Elephas maximus indicus: one gene and its partner. The protein of the gene in region 1 binds, or shares a complex with, the protein of each later gene. Links are inferred from orthologs where the notes say so. Each region holds a gene or a part of one and is shown in the gene's direction. Other genes may lie near its edges.

What was found.
Region 2: the proteins of POLA1 (region 1) and PRIM1 are in contact, whole or in part, in a cryo-EM structure (PDB 7OPL), measured with the Homo sapiens proteins. The link is inferred for Elephas maximus indicus from reciprocal best matches to the Homo sapiens genes POLA1 and PRIM1. Residues at the interface, in NP_058633.2 of Homo sapiens: Tyr439, Ala440, Pro447, Glu448, Lys449, Ser450, Phe876, Thr877, Thr878, Gln880, Leu906; in NP_000937.1 of Homo sapiens: Asn92, Thr93, Val94, Lys95, Leu96, Gly97, Ala98.

What each region holds. Positions count from the first base shown.
Region 1 is NC_064846.1:154,224,568-154,231,677, reverse strand, and holds the start of POLA1 (DNA polymerase alpha catalytic subunit), read left to right. Parts: upstream 1-4,100; 5' UTR 4,101-4,181; coding exon 4,182-4,224; intron 4,225-7,110. UniProt on the Homo sapiens protein: Catalytic subunit of the DNA polymerase alpha complex (also known as the alpha DNA polymerase-primase complex) which plays an essential role in the initiation of DNA synthesis.
Region 2 is NC_064822.1:116,653,870-116,661,880, reverse strand, and holds the start of PRIM1 (DNA primase small subunit), read left to right. Parts: upstream 1-4,997; 5' UTR 4,998-5,112; coding exon 5,113-5,215; exon of another isoform or gene 5,216-5,234; intron 5,235-5,882; coding exon 5,883-6,040; intron 6,041-7,826; exon of another isoform or gene 7,827-8,011. UniProt on the Homo sapiens protein: Catalytic subunit of the DNA primase complex and component of the DNA polymerase alpha complex (also known as the alpha DNA polymerase-primase complex - primosome/replisome) which play an essential role in the initiation of DNA synthesis.

The sequences.
Region 1 (7,110 bases):
AGAGCTGCAATAAACATGAGTGTGCATTTAAGATTTTTTTTTTAATCTGTTTGTGTGAAGGCTCTTATTTCTCTAGGGTATATTCCGAGGAGTGGGATTTCTGGGTTGTATGGTAGTTCTATTTCTAACTGTTCAAGGTAACGCCAGATAGATTTCCAAAGTGGTTGTACCATTTTACATTCCCACCAGCAGTGTATAAGAGTTCCAATCTCTCCGCAGCCTCTCCAACATTTATTATTTTGTGTTTTTTGGATTAATGCCAGCCTTGTTGAAGTGAGATGGAATCTCACCGTAGTTTTAATTTGCATTTCTCTTTTTTTTAATGGCTAATGACTGAGAGCATTTTCTCATGTATCTGTTAGCTGCCTGAATATCTTCTTTAGTGAAGTGTGTGTTCATATCTTTTGCCCACTTCTTGATTGCATGATAGAATTTTGCAAGACCAACGACTTCTTCATTGCAAATACCTTTATTCAACAACATAAATGGCAATTATACACATGGACCTTGCCGGATGGAATACACAGGAATCAAATCGACTACATCTGTGGAAAGAGATGATGGAGAAGCTCAATACCATCAGTAAGAACGAGGTCAGGAAACAACTACAGAACGGACCATCAATTGTTCATATTCAAGTTCAAGCTGAAGCTGAAGAAAATTAGAACAAGCCCATGAGAGCCAAAGTACGACCTCGAGAATATCCCACCTGAATTTAGAGACCTTCTCGAGAAAAGATTTGATGTGTTGAACACTAATGGCTGAAGACCAGATTAGTTGTGGAATGACATCAAGGACATCATACATGAAGAAAGCAAGCGCTCATTAAAAAGACAGAAAAGAAAGAAAAGACCAAAATGGATGTTAGAAGAGACTCTGAAAGTTGTTCTTGAACATCAAGTACCTAAAGTAAACAGAAGAAATGATGAAGTAAGAGCTGAACAGAAGATTTCAAGGGCAGGTCAAGAAGACAAAGTAAAGTATTATAATGACATGTGCAAAGACCTGTAATGAAATGTACAAAGACCTAGAAAACCAAAAGGGAAGAACATGCTCAGCCTTTCTCAAGCTGAAAGAACTGAAAAAAAAATTCAAACCTCGAGTTGCAATATTGAAAGATTCTATGGGGAAAATATTAAGCGATGCAGGAAGCATTAAAAGAAGATGGAAGGAATATACAGAGTCACTATAGTCAAAAGAATTAGTCGATGTTCAACCATTTTAGGAGGTAGCATATGATCAGGAACTGATGGTACTGAAGGAAGAGGTCCAAGTTGCACTGAAGGCACTGGCATAAAAACAAGGCTCCAGGAATTCACAGAATACCAACTGAGATGTTTCAACAAACAGATGCAGCACTAGAAGTGCTTACTCATCTATGCCAAGAAATTTGGAAGACAGCTACCTGGTCAACAACCGACTAAAGGAGATTCACAGTTATGCCTATTCCAAAGAAAAGTGATCCAAGCGAATGCAGAAATTATCGAACAATATCATTAATATCACATACAAGTAAAATTTTGCTGAAGATCATTCAAAAGCGATTTCAGCTGTACATGGACAGGGAACTGCCAGAAATTCAAGCTGGATTCCGAAGAGGACTTAGAACGAGGGATGAGAGCTGAACAGAAGATTTCAAGGGCAGCTTGAGAAGACAAAGTATTATAATGACGTGCTGACGTCAGATGGATTCTGGCTGAAAGTAGAGTACCAGAAAGATGTTTACCTGTGTTTTATTGACTATGCAAAGGTATTCGATTGTGTAGATCATAAAAAATTATGGATAACGTTGTGAAGAATGGGAATTTCAGAACACTTAATTGTGCTCACGAGGAACCTGTACATAGATCAAGAGCCAGTTGTTCAGACAGAACAAGGGGATACCGCATAGTTTAAAGTCAGTAAAGGTGTGCGTCAGGGTTGTATCCTTCCACAATACCTATTCAATCTGTATGCTAAGCAAATAATCCAAGAAGCTGGACTATACGAAGAAGAGTGGGGCATCAGGATTGGAGGAAGACTCATTAACAACCTGCGCTATGCAGATGACACAACCTTGCTTGCTGAAAGCAAAGAGGACTTGAAGCACTTACTGATAAAGATCAAAGACCACAGCCTTCAGTATGGATTTTGCCTCAACATAAAGAAAATAAAAATCCTCACAACTGGACCCATAAGCAACATCATGATAAGCGGAGAAAAGATTGAAGTTGTCAAGGATTTAATTTTACTTGGATCCACAATCAACATCCATGGAACCAGCAGTCAAGAAATCAAAGGAGGTTCTGCATTGGGTAAATCTGCTGCAAAAGACCTCTTTAAAGTGTTGAAAAGCAAAGATGTCACCTTGAAGACTAAGGTGCGCCTGACCAAAGCCATGGTGTTTTCAATCGCCTCATACGCACGCAAAAGCTGGACAATGAATAAGGAAGACTGAAAAAGAATTGACGCCATGGAATTATGGTGTTGGCGAAGAATACTGAATATACCATGGACTGCCAAAAGAACAAACAAATCTGTCCTGGAAGAAGTACAATCAGAATGCTCCTTAGAAGCAGGCGAGACTTCATCTCACATACTTTGGACATGTTATCAGGGGGTATCAGTCCCTGGAGAAGGACATCATGCTTGGTAGAGTGTCACCAAAAAAGAGGAAGACTTTCAACAAAATGGATTGACACAGTGGCTACGGCAAGGGGCTCAAGCATAACAACGATCGTGAGAATGGCGCAGGACTGGGCAGTGTTTTGTTCTGTTGTACGAAGAGTTGTTATGAGTCTGAACCGATTCAGTCGCACCTAAAAACAACAATATAGGCATGCAAAAGCTGGACAATAATAAGGAAGATCGAAGGAGAACGGATGCCTTTGAATTATGGTGTTGGCAAAGTGCATTGAATATACCATGGACTGCTGAAAAAACAAACAAATCTGTCTTGGAAAAAGTACAGCCAGAATGCTCCTTAGAAGCGAAGTTGGCGAGACTCTGTCTTGTGTACCTAGGACATGTTATCAGGAGGGACCAGTCCCTAGAGAAGGACATCATGGTTGGTAAAGTAGAGGGTCAGTGTAAAAGAGGAAGACCCTCAACAAGATGGATTGACACAGTGGCTTCAACAATGGACTAAAACATAGTAACGATTGTGAGGATGGCATAGGACTGAGCAGTGTTTCCTTCTGTTCTACATAGGCACTGTTGTACAGTGGCACCTAACAACAACATAATCACGATCCTGTTATCACATGTAAGAAATTTAACATCAGCATAATAATATGTCATCTTAAATTCTCCAATGTTCCCAAATAATATCCTTTACAGTTTTTTGTTTTGTTTTTAATACTCAGGACCCAATCGAGACTCAAGTTGTTGTTTCTCTTTAATCTCCTTTAGTACACCTTTTTGTCTTTCACAACATAGACTTTTTGCAAGAGTTCAGGCCAGATATTTTGTAGATTGTCTTACACTTTGTATACATCTGATTGTTTCCTCATGGTTAGATTTAGCTTAAACATTTTTTTTTTTTTGCAAGAAGCCCAGATAGCTGGTGTTGGCTTTTTGACGTGCATCCCATCAGGAGGCATACGACGTCAGACTGCTCCTTGTTAGCGATGCTTTTGTTTGTGTGTGTGTGATGCTATTTAGTTAAGATGGTGTATATATCTTTAAGTGGTAACTTACTCAAAAATAAAAATTATACAAGCAAAGCATCAATTAAAACTCAGAGCGCGCAGCAGGAGGCAGTCGCTTTCTCAGGCTCCAGAGGAAATGGTACAACCACGCCCATGTTCCGCCCGCCCGCGCCTCTTTTCCCGAAAAATCAAGTCTCAGAACCAAAGAGCCGCTACTTCTACGTGCCCAAATCTTTTCTCATCAGCATGCGTGCGCCTGCGCAGCCCGTCTCCAGAAGGTTCCTTTTCAGCGCCCGACCGCTTCTTTCTCTTGCTCTCCTTCGGCCTCTGCTCAGCTGAAGCTTCCCCTAAGGGGTCATCACAGGGCGCCAAACGCGAGGCCGCGGGAAGGCCGGGGGCGGGGCGCGGCTCGTCGCTGCGCCGCACGTAAGTGGCCTTCCGGGCGGAAGTCCGCAGCCTCGCTAGCCGCTGATTGGCTTTCGGGCTGGTGCCTGTCTCGGCCCCCGCGCCAGTTTCGGGCTAGTTGGCGCGGAATCGGGAGAGTCGGAAACCATGGCGCCGGTGCACAGCGACGATTGCGAGCCGGGGGCGAGCGGTGAGGGTCAGCCCCGCGCGCGGGATGCTCGGTTGGGAGTTCAGGGACCATAGCATGATTGCGGGTGGTGGGGATTCTGGAGGTCTCTATTTTTTCTAAGCGAAGCACGCTCCCAGATCGCCCCGCGGGTCTGTTCGGGCGAGGACTACAGATGGTCTTGGGCGGGGTTCTTTCTGGCTTTGGACGAGAACTTCTGTGCCAGGACTGTTTACTCCTAGCAAACCCGAGCAATCCCCTGTGGGGCTTTTTGTTTGGGAAGCTGCCTCAGCTCTGTCACTGCGGGTCAGAGCACCTGCCTTTCATTTCTTTTGGTGAGTCGCACCCCACGTGTTGGGCACACCGTCATCGAGACTGGTCTCAGTGGGGGCACTGCCTTGGCTGCAAGTGTTTTACTTCTTCCTCAAGTATCCGCTTCAGGGCTAGGACAGGACAGATGTACGTCCCCCTTTCTAGGAACTCCAGGGAAATTGTTATACATTGGAACTAAGGAAAGAAAGCTCTAAGTGCCATCACTAGAGAGAAAAGCGTTTCGTCTTTCTAGGTAATGGGTTTCTGCTTTATGCATTAACAATTTTTCTTTCAGATTCTTCCATGGAAAGCTGTTCAAGTGCTTCATACAAATAGTGTGCACAATCTAGTCGCTTCGGGTGAAGTTTTTTTTTTTTTAAAGGATCGGTTCAGTGGCACTTTAGATGCCCTATATCTCACTCGGTTTGTCGGTGGTAATCTCTTATTCCCCAGAATAGAATATGAAAATGCAAATGGCTTTCTCTGATTTCAGATTTTTGAACGGCGTTCAACTAAAGTGTGACTTAACTTCAGTGAACTTCTAACTTAAAATCAGATGCTTCACTGTCTTAGCTCAAGCATTTCATCTGTCACTCAGATACATCACCATTAATGAGAACTGGCTGCCTAATCAGCTTCCTTTGCATTCACCTGGTTGTAAATCACAGATTTCAATTTGCTCTTGCCCTTGGTTTTTTGAGACAATTTATTTTGGAGAGTCGACTAGCGTGGATTACAAATGGGATTTAGAATGTGAGTGTGAACAGTCTTTTCAGCTGTATGTCAGTGATTTGCCACTAAGCCCTTTTCTCGCCCTAAAAACTGTATGTCATCTGTGAGCATCAAGAAATCACTCCCTGAAGGATACTGTGCAGTCCTGAGATCGCTTTTAAGTTATGGTGTTGATTAAGTAGTTGCTAGGCTTGTGACTGGAATCTTTCCTTTAGAGCCGACTGAAAGGTTGTTGGCTGAGAGTCTGTTGCAGGCTAGTGTCTGTCTGCTTTTTGGGAGAATAGGGGTGCTCCAGAGGGTAATTTTGAGCCAGATATTTAACGTTTTATAACTGGATTTTTTCGTGCTTTTTCTTTTTTTTGCTAACTTATTATGTGAAGCATTGGAGATGTATTTCAAAAAGGAAAATCCAGGTCTTTTTTTTTTTTTCCTTAAGTATTAGGACATATGGTACCTTGACAAAGGCAGCAAAAAGGTGAAAGGTCTGTAAGTAGCCATTATATATGAGAAGGACTCCGGTAGAGCTTAACGATTAAAAAAAAAAAGGCAAGTAAATGGTTCATGAATTTGTTTATTCAGCAAATAATTATTATGTACCTACTAGGCTTTTTTTTTACTAGGCTTAGGTATTCTGTCAGGCTGTAGTGTTACAGTGGTGGGTAGGCTGGATGTAATTTCAGTCCTCATGGAGTTGAGATGTTGCAGTGCTATATTGAGGCTTCCCTGAGAGAGTGGCTTTGTTTAATTTTGCTTTCTAGAAGATAGGCCACAGTACTGCATGTGTGTGTGACTACCCTGCAGCTATACACACACATTAAAATAAACCTCTCCTATTTATATTGCTAAATATGAAGTAAGATAAACATCTTCATTTAACCCTTACCAACTTTACGAAGCAGACATGATTATCCCAGTTTCACAGATGAGGACACTGAGGCTCTGCATTAGCCAGAATCCTTAGTTGCAAGCTACAGGAACCAACTCTAACTGATTTAGTCAGAAAAGGAATTTATTGGAAGGACACTGTGGTGTTCACAGAAACTCTTAAGAGGGCTGGAGAGCCAGTCTGGGGCTGCTTAGCCGGGAACAGTACTTAAAATCATGCCATAAAACTGGTCCAGTGAGGAAGTCATTGCTAACGTGGCCAAGTACTTGATACTATAACTTGTATCTTGGGGTATTGCTGGCGCTGTTACCGCAGGCACTCAATCTTCCTGTAGGCGTCACTACTTCTAGACTTTTCCTTAAGTCAGCCTCCTTCACTTCCTTGTGACATTACCTTCTGATTTAAAGCCTGAGGAGGTGTTCCTAATTGGTAGAGCCTATTATATGCCCATGCCTTAGTTGCAAGGGAGTCTGGGAAAAAGCTTCTGACACAGACCTTTTTTCAGCTATTGAGTGGGGCCTGGGCCCTGTCTTCCATCAAGACTTATAAGGGGGGAATTTCACAAACAGGTTCAGATGCTGGGCAACTTAAAAAAAAAAAAAAGACAACTGCCCATTGCAGGCTCAGAGAGGTTAACTCGTCTAATGCCACCCAGTAAATGGCAGCGCTGGGATGTGCTGCTTCCCCCAGATCTCCCAGTTCTCCTATTCACTCTACACTCAACCTTCCATGCTGACTTTCTTTCAGTTCCTGAATACACCTTGCATTTTTATCCTTTGTAATTTGGCTCATGCCTTTTCCTCTGCTTATGCCACTTTTTGACCCTGTTCACTTATGGTGAAATTCTACTCTTCTTTGTGAGCCTCTGTTGGAAATCTGCCCTGTGAAGCCTTTCCTGATTTCCCAGGCAGAATTAACTGTTCTCTTCTCAACCTTACGTCTTATAGGGTGCCATATTTATATTATGCTGGTAGCCTGAG
Region 2 (8,011 bases), on another chromosome or scaffold:
CAGACTGACTCCCAGGTTCCTCCCTTCGATAATTGAGTTGATGGTGGTGGTGCCTGTAAAACAAGATCAGAAAAAGAGGAAGAACCTATTGATTCCCCAGACCACTGCAATTTGCTTTCTGTCTTGACTGTTCCATAAAACGATCATACATGACTTCTAGCTGCCAGATCTGAGCACTCTCTTCAGTCTTCATCTTAAATGACTATGCTCACCCTTTCACAGCTTTCTCCTCCCTTGGCTCCTTTGAAATCATTCTCTCCTAGCTCTCCTGCTTCTATTACTATTCTTTCTCATTGTCCTTTGCTGGGTTCTCTTCAATATATAAAGTTAATCCCCTTAAGTATTCTATCCCAGTCCTTCTCTTCTTGCCATACACATCCTCCTTGTTTGTTGATCCCAGTCATCATCCTGGCTTCAAACCTGACCTGAGGAGTAATGACTTGTAAATCCCTAACTTCAGTCCAGATCTCTCTCCTAAGATCTAGCCCCTCTCAGGGAGGAAATTTTGTTTGGAAAAATAACTATTTCTCTTTAGAGTAGAAGGTGAGACCCCAAGGGCACAAAAGAGATCCAAGCTGTTCCATAACAGAAATCAATAGGAATCTAGGGGTAGAAGGCTAGTTGGCGGTGGGGAAGGGATGAGAGAGAGGTTAACATAACAAAGCAGGACTTTGAAGAACAGGATTGCCTCATACTCAATGTTAGATTATTCATGTAAATGCTTCTCCAAATTTCCCAAACCTTCAATTTAATATGGTTCACTCACAATGGTTCTGGGTTATTTTTGGTTTTTGGTGTGGAAATCATGGGAACAGGTGCACTCAATATCTGGGTCCGTTTATTCCAGTAAAAGGATAACCTGTGCAGGATGACAAGTGATTTCTTAACTGAAATAACTCTGTTCTGGCAGGAGCTCTGAGCCAGAGGTGGCCATGAGAAAGTAAGCTTACCAGTTTGCAGAAATCAAGGAGATGACACCGGACATGTTCCAAATTGTGGACTGGGAGCCTGGGCCAATCTTATCCAAGGCATAAGGAACATGTTGATGCCAACAGACGTTTGGGTTACAAATGCATCCATAACACTTCACTGCACTTTTTGATTTGTGTCTATTGCTCTGACTAGACTATAACGTTCTTGGGAGCAGAAAGCATCTCATCATTAAATTTTTCTCCCAAGAGCCTGGCAAAGTGCCCACATATGTTTATAAACTATTTGTGCAGTAAATAGATGACTTAAAGAGTGGCTGAATGAGCCATACTTTTATTGAAGAGATCATCCTTCTAGATGCTAAAAACACCCAGAATAACAGGTGGAGCTGAACTGGAAGGGAAGTCCATTAGGTAGGTGTCCAAATCTGCAAAGAACTTGGAGAGACAGACCTGGGACTGATAGATATTACAAAAACGCTAAAGAGGATGGTAAAGCCAGATAGTACAAGGCTTGAAGGAGAAAGGACTTTTGCACCTAGGTGGCCTAGAAATCCCAATGGGAAACAAACTGAATGCCAATACTGCCTCCTGGTGGCGTCTGGGATAAACGCCTCTATGCCGGAACACAAGGAACCTTGGTAAGCACTCAGCTGCTAACTGAAAGATCAGCAGTTCAAACCCACCAGGTGCTCCATGGGAGAAAGATGTGGCAGTCTGCTTGCATAAATATTACTACCTGGGAAGCCCTATGGGGCAGTTCTACTCTGTCCTACAGGGCCGCTATGAGTCAAAATCAACACAACAGCAAAAAATCATGACAGAACACCTTTAAGGAATAAATAGCCTTCTCACATTGAGTGGCTCTGAGTCATGGACTGTGCCAGACACTCCTTTAACTCTCATAACAACCCCATGCAGACTCAGCATGTAGCTTAGGGGTTAAACGCACAGGCTCTGGAGCCAGGCTGTCTGGCTCCCCACTTACTAGCTGTGACCTTGGACAAATTAAGTTTTCTATGCTTATTTCCTCATCTGTAAAAGAGAAATAATACTAACACCTACCACATAGATTCTTATAAGGAATAAATTCTTAAAATGGTACCTGATGGCATAGTAAGTGCTATATAAATATTAAATATATATATAAATATTAGCTATTATTATTCCCTTTTTCCTGATGAGAAAACTAATGTTAAACAAACCAAGCATATAGCAGGAACTCAATAAATATAACTTCCTTTCCCTTCTCCCCTTATGTCTTAGCTCCTTACTTAAGATATTGTCCTCCTTAGCAACCCTGGAATTTAAATAGGGGACTCCTGAAGAGCCTAAAGAAGTCAGTTCCTAAAGGTAGCAACAAGGAAGATGAGAAATTTCCATTTGATGGGAAGCTGAGAAATCTCCATTTAAAAGTCCAGTGCGCATCGCAGCACTGTTCACAATTGTCAAAAGATGGAAATAACCTAAATATCCATCAAGAGATGAATGGATAAACAAAATGTGATCCACACATACAATGGAATATTATTCTGCCACAAAGAGAAATGAAGTCCTTATACATGCTACAACACGGATGAAACCTAAGAACATTATGCTGAATTAAATAAGTCCATGACAAAAGGACAAATATTGTTTGAGTCCACTTACATGACACAGGCAAACGCACAGAGACTGCAGCGCAATGGATCACTTTCATATGGCCTTTCTCACCATGGTCTTGTATCTCCCACCCAAGTAACTGGGTGAGAGTATACAAATAAGGTAATTGTGGCCCACCAAGAGGATTGGATAGCTTGCTAATAATGCAAATAAAGTTCATGGCACCCCTGTGCAGGTGGGACCATGCAAATGAGGTCTATGGAAAACTAACAAAAGGACTGGTCAGTTTTGCCATCCCACTAGCCTTAAGATGAGCCATCCCAGAGGCAGGAGGAGAGGATCTCACCACTGCTAAGAAGAGCCAGGAGTGGAGCACATCCTGTGGACCTGGGATCCCTATGCTAAGAAGCTCCTGGAATCAGACCAAGAAAAAGAGAAAGAGAAAGCTGTAACATGAAGATGGCGAGAAGTGGCAGCAGAGAAACAAAGGCAGGAGTTGGCACAGTAGGCTTTCCAGGCCTACGGAGCAAGAAAGCTTAGTGCCTTTGAGCAGGAGTCTTGCTGGCAAAGTTGGGTGCTTCCTTTGTGACCCACGGAGCTAGAGGTGAGCCTTCCAGCAGGGGCTTACTGGCAGAGTGGTGTGCCTCGGGGCACTTATCAGCAGAGCTGAAAGTTTTGTAACACTTGCCCAAGCAGGGTAGAGCCTAAGGGGCCAAAAGAACTTTATAATGCTTGCCCAAGCAGGGCAGTGGGCAAGGGGCCAGAGAGAGGCAGGCATGGCTGGGAAGAGGCTGTCCTGATCGAAGAACTGTATCCTAAGCATTCCTGAACCTGAATTGTAACCTGTCACTTCCCTAATAAACCCATAATCCTGAGCATTGTCAATGAATTATAGAACTCAGCAAAGAAGTAGGGAGTGCCATGGGAGGGACAGTTGGTGTGAGAATTGATGAAGAGGGTGGAGGGTGGAGGCATGTGTGACCTCCACCTCACAGGAATCAGCCCTGGGCTGTTGATCATGATTCTCCTTCCTCCTTGTGAAATCAGAGGTTAGACGCCGCCCCCATGCCATTTTTAGAGAGATTGAAACCCTGGTGGCATAGTGATTAAGAGTTCAGCTGCTAACCAAAAGGTCGGCAGTTCAAATCCACTAGGCAGGTGCTCCTTGGAAACCCAATGGGGCAGTTCTACTCTGTCCTATAGGGTCGCTGTGAGTTGGAATCTGACTTGACGGCAACAGGTTTTTTTTGGTGGTTACCAAGGGTAGGAGGCAGGAGAGAGGGGAAGTCTTGGCTTAGGGGGCACTGAGTTTCTGTTAATCGTGGTGGAATAATCTGGAAATGGATCATGGTGCTGGTTGCACATGATAGAATGTAATCAGTATCACCAAACTGTACATGTAAAAAATTTTGAATTGATAAATGTTCTGTTATACAGTAAAATCTACGAAAGCCAGAACTTGTATAAGGTGAAAACCTGTCAGCAAAGGAAAACTCAAATACTTTCCACTAAAATGAGAGAGAGAAAAGTGGTAAGACTGCACCCTGTCAGAGACGGAAAAGTTGCAAGACCCGGAAAAACAAGGCAATCCCATTGAGTTCGGGTTCTCACAGGTTTCATAATTAAAGAATAAAAACAGTCCAAGGTGGATGTGGTTCCAGAAAGACCACTCTGCAAAGCATTCCTATTACTACTGGAAAAGTGAAGACCCTAAAGGCTCTGAAATTGACCCTACCCAAAACAGGATGCATAGGGGCTGTGAAAATTAACAATCAAGATTTGTGCAGGAAGCCAGATTTCTGGCAACATTAAAAAATATGATCTGCCCAGAGCCCACTGCAGACTAACTTGCCCACAGAAGCTGGGGGGTGATGATCATTTTCAAGATTAGGCTAATAAATCCATTTACGAAAGACTCTATTCTCTCCTGACTTTCCTACTATTACTGTGAAAATAATATTAATAATAATGGTTTTCAAGTGACAAGATACTCAACTAGATTATCAGGCTGCCCACCGCAACCCACATTTGCAATGAGATGTATCTTTTATTCAGTAGGGCTGATTGGCGTAACTGCCACATCAGTAGCAAACCGACTCTTTTCATACCCGTAAAGCTCACCATGATTCTGCAGGCTTCTCTAATTCATATTTTAGCGTTCCTGGGTGTTCTACTGAATTCAGCAATTCTTTGAAATATTAAAAGAACTAACTTCCAAACTCTCTTTAAAAAATGTCTGCATCGTTCGTTTTTTCTGAAACATTCATAAAGTTAGAACGGAATATCTTTATTACTCCACTTTAATAACCTAAGTCGATAAACCAAAAGTCTCACCTTTCAGAGACGTTCTTCCGGGAACGGACACTGTTTCCGCCCACGTGAACGGTGCTGTAGTGTCTGCGCGCCTGCGCCGAGCCCCTCGACTGGCCCATTCCCGAAGTAGAAACTACAAATTCCGGCGGTCCAGTCAGCCAGCAGGGCCCAGCGCGCCTGCGCAGTGACGGAAGCTTCGGCTGTACTTTTTTTTTACAGTTCCCGCCAATTCTTGGGGTAGTCGTGCTCTGGCATAATTCCGTGCCCCATGGAGGTGTTTGACCCTGCCGATCTGCCCGAACTGCTTAAGATTTATTACCGGAGGCTCTTTCCCTATGCCCAATACTACCGCTGGCTCAACTATGGCGGAGGTGATGCTGCGGAGAGCGGGTGGGTAGTGGGTTGGGAGGGCAGTGTAAGAAGGTTCTTGGCGGGATGTTCTCGGAATGACAATATGAAGTACCTCCTGCGAGCTAGGCATTGTGCCGGGCGCCTTGGTGCATTATCTTGAGCCCTCCTCACCTCCTCTGAGGCGGAAGGGGGCCGAGAGAGGCTACACTGATCAGCCTACGGACACACAGTGAAAGGCATAGCCGCTGCTCCTCCTCCTACGCGGTCAGGCTCACTTTAGGTGTCCAGTTGACCTGCCGCGGTGCCTAAGCAAGGGGGTTACTGGGTTGTAGCATGAAGGTACAGAGTCGTGATCTGTATCAGAGACAGAAGAGCGTCTCTGGGAGGAGGAGAAGTACTATCCTCTTGGCAGCTGATTTAATTTATTAATGCCTACCGGGGCGTTAGATTTTTAACATTTCTGCATTTTTTCTGCTCACTTTACTTTTCCCTAACAGTTGCGGAAGGATACATCCCTTCAAATGAGGTACTCTCTCTTGTCCCTTTTTTTTTTTTCCCTTTCTTTTTTACATCTAGTATAGTGTTGGGCACGGGGCTCACTAACTGTATTCTCATTTCTCAAATGCCATAATGCCCTGAACTGAGTAAGGTACCAAATTAGCTTTAAAATGTAAATTTCTTTTGCAGTGATAAAGAATTACTTTCAACACCGTGAATTTTCATTCACATTGAAAGATGATATTTACATTCGCTACCAATCCTTCAACAACCAGAGTGAGCTGGAAAAAGAGATGCAGAAAATGAATCCATACAAGATTGATATAGGTGCAGTATATTCCCACAGAGTAAGAAATCATTTTTATGTATTGTTTTATTTTCAAACCAAGGATGGGTTGGTGCCCCAGCCTTTGATATAAATTTTTAGAGTTTATTCAAGTTGAGGACCCATAATGTTTACTTAACTGCTTTTGCAGGTAGACTGGTAATCTTCTTTGTTTTTTGACATTCTACATTACTGACTGGAAATCGTTTGGGAGCGAATTGGTTACATTCCCACTAGGACAAAAAAATTTAGTATCTGGCTAAAAGACTAAATGAGGACGTCAACGTGGTTTAAGGGAGAGAGTAAAAAGTATTATATTCTCTTCCAGCATTGGTGTTATTCTTGACTCCTCTCTTTCTCTCACACTCCCACATTCTTTGCCTTAGGAAATCCCTTTGGCCCTACCATAATATATATCTATAACCCAACTACTGCTACCATCATTCTGTCTCACCTGTATTACTATAAAACCTAACAGTTTGCCTCTCCAGACCCTAAAATCTACTCTCAACACAGCAGCCAGAGTGATCCTCTTAAAACAAGTCAGATTCTGTGATCCTTCTGCTCAAAACCATTCTCCAGTGGCTCCCTATTTCACTGAGTGAAAAGCCGTTCTCTCCCTCTTACTCCACTACAGCTACACTGGCTCTTGCTCAAGCTGTCTCCACTGCCCAGAACACATTTCTCTAGATATCTGCTTGGCTCATTTCCTCACCTTCAAGTCTTTGCTCAAAGAGCACATTTTCAATGAGATCTGCTGCAACCTGCCACTCCTCCCACCCCCTGCCACTGACCTATCCTAGAATTGCCTAGAATAGTGGGTACCCCATAAATATTTGTCGAATACATGAATAAATCAGAATTGCTCTTCCCTTCTTTAAAAATACACACATGGGATGATAACTTTTGTATGGAGCTTTTTCGTATGCTGCTTAACTTGTTCCTCATATCAATCTTAATCTTTTTGCAGAGGAGAAAATGGGCCCAGGGAACTTAGTTTGCCCAAGGTCCCACAGTTTCTAAAAGATAGAGCTGGGACTTGAAGCCAGATTTTCTGACTCTAAATCCCAGGTTTGTCTCCCACCTGCAGAGTAAGGGGAAAAGAAGAGATAAGGAAAGGCAGGCAGCAAAAATGCTTCAGAACAGTTTACTGAAGAATAAAACTGAAGTCTCAAAAGAAGGGCCAGGATGCCATTCTGCTTCCTTGTCCCACTGAAGGAGGAAAAAAAAGTATCATTTTCTTATTGTGCCGAGAGAGGCATTTATAGACCTTTGTGTATGTGTTTTGTAAGGAGCCCTTGTGGCACTGTGGTTACGTGCTCAGCTGCTAACCAAAAGGTCAGCGGTTCAAACATACCAGCCATTCCACAAGATGTGACAGTCTGCTTCAGTGAAGATTTACAGCCTTGGCAACCCTATGGGGAAGTTCTACTTTGTCCTACAGAGTTGCTAATAGTCGGAATTGACTTGATGGCAGTGGGTTTGGTTTGGTCTTTGGTATGTGTTTTGTGATTTTTATCAGTTATATATGCCAATAGTTTATAGAATCAAGTAGTTCTATAGGCATTTTGAAAAAGTCTCCCACCTTTACCATCAGCTTCTGCTCCCCAGAGGCAACCACTTTATTTTAGCTGATTCTTATTTGCCTCATGTCTCTAAATAACATTGCTTATATTTCTTTCATTTTTCCATTTTAAGCATTATATATTGACTGTCCATCCTGGCAGATGAGGATTTAGCTTTCTTTCACCTCACCCTCTACCCTCACCACACACAAAACCTTCCCATGCCTAATTTATTATGCTCCTAATGTAAATTTTATTACTTTAAAATTTAGATTATAAATTCAACCCCAGACTCTTTGCCAGTTGTCTTCATCTCCCAATATATTCAGATCCATCAGGTAGTCTGTCAGTTTCATCTTGAAAACATTTCTCCTGGAGATTTCTGACCTCTCCAGTCTGGACTGATTACTGTTTAGGCCTGATGAATA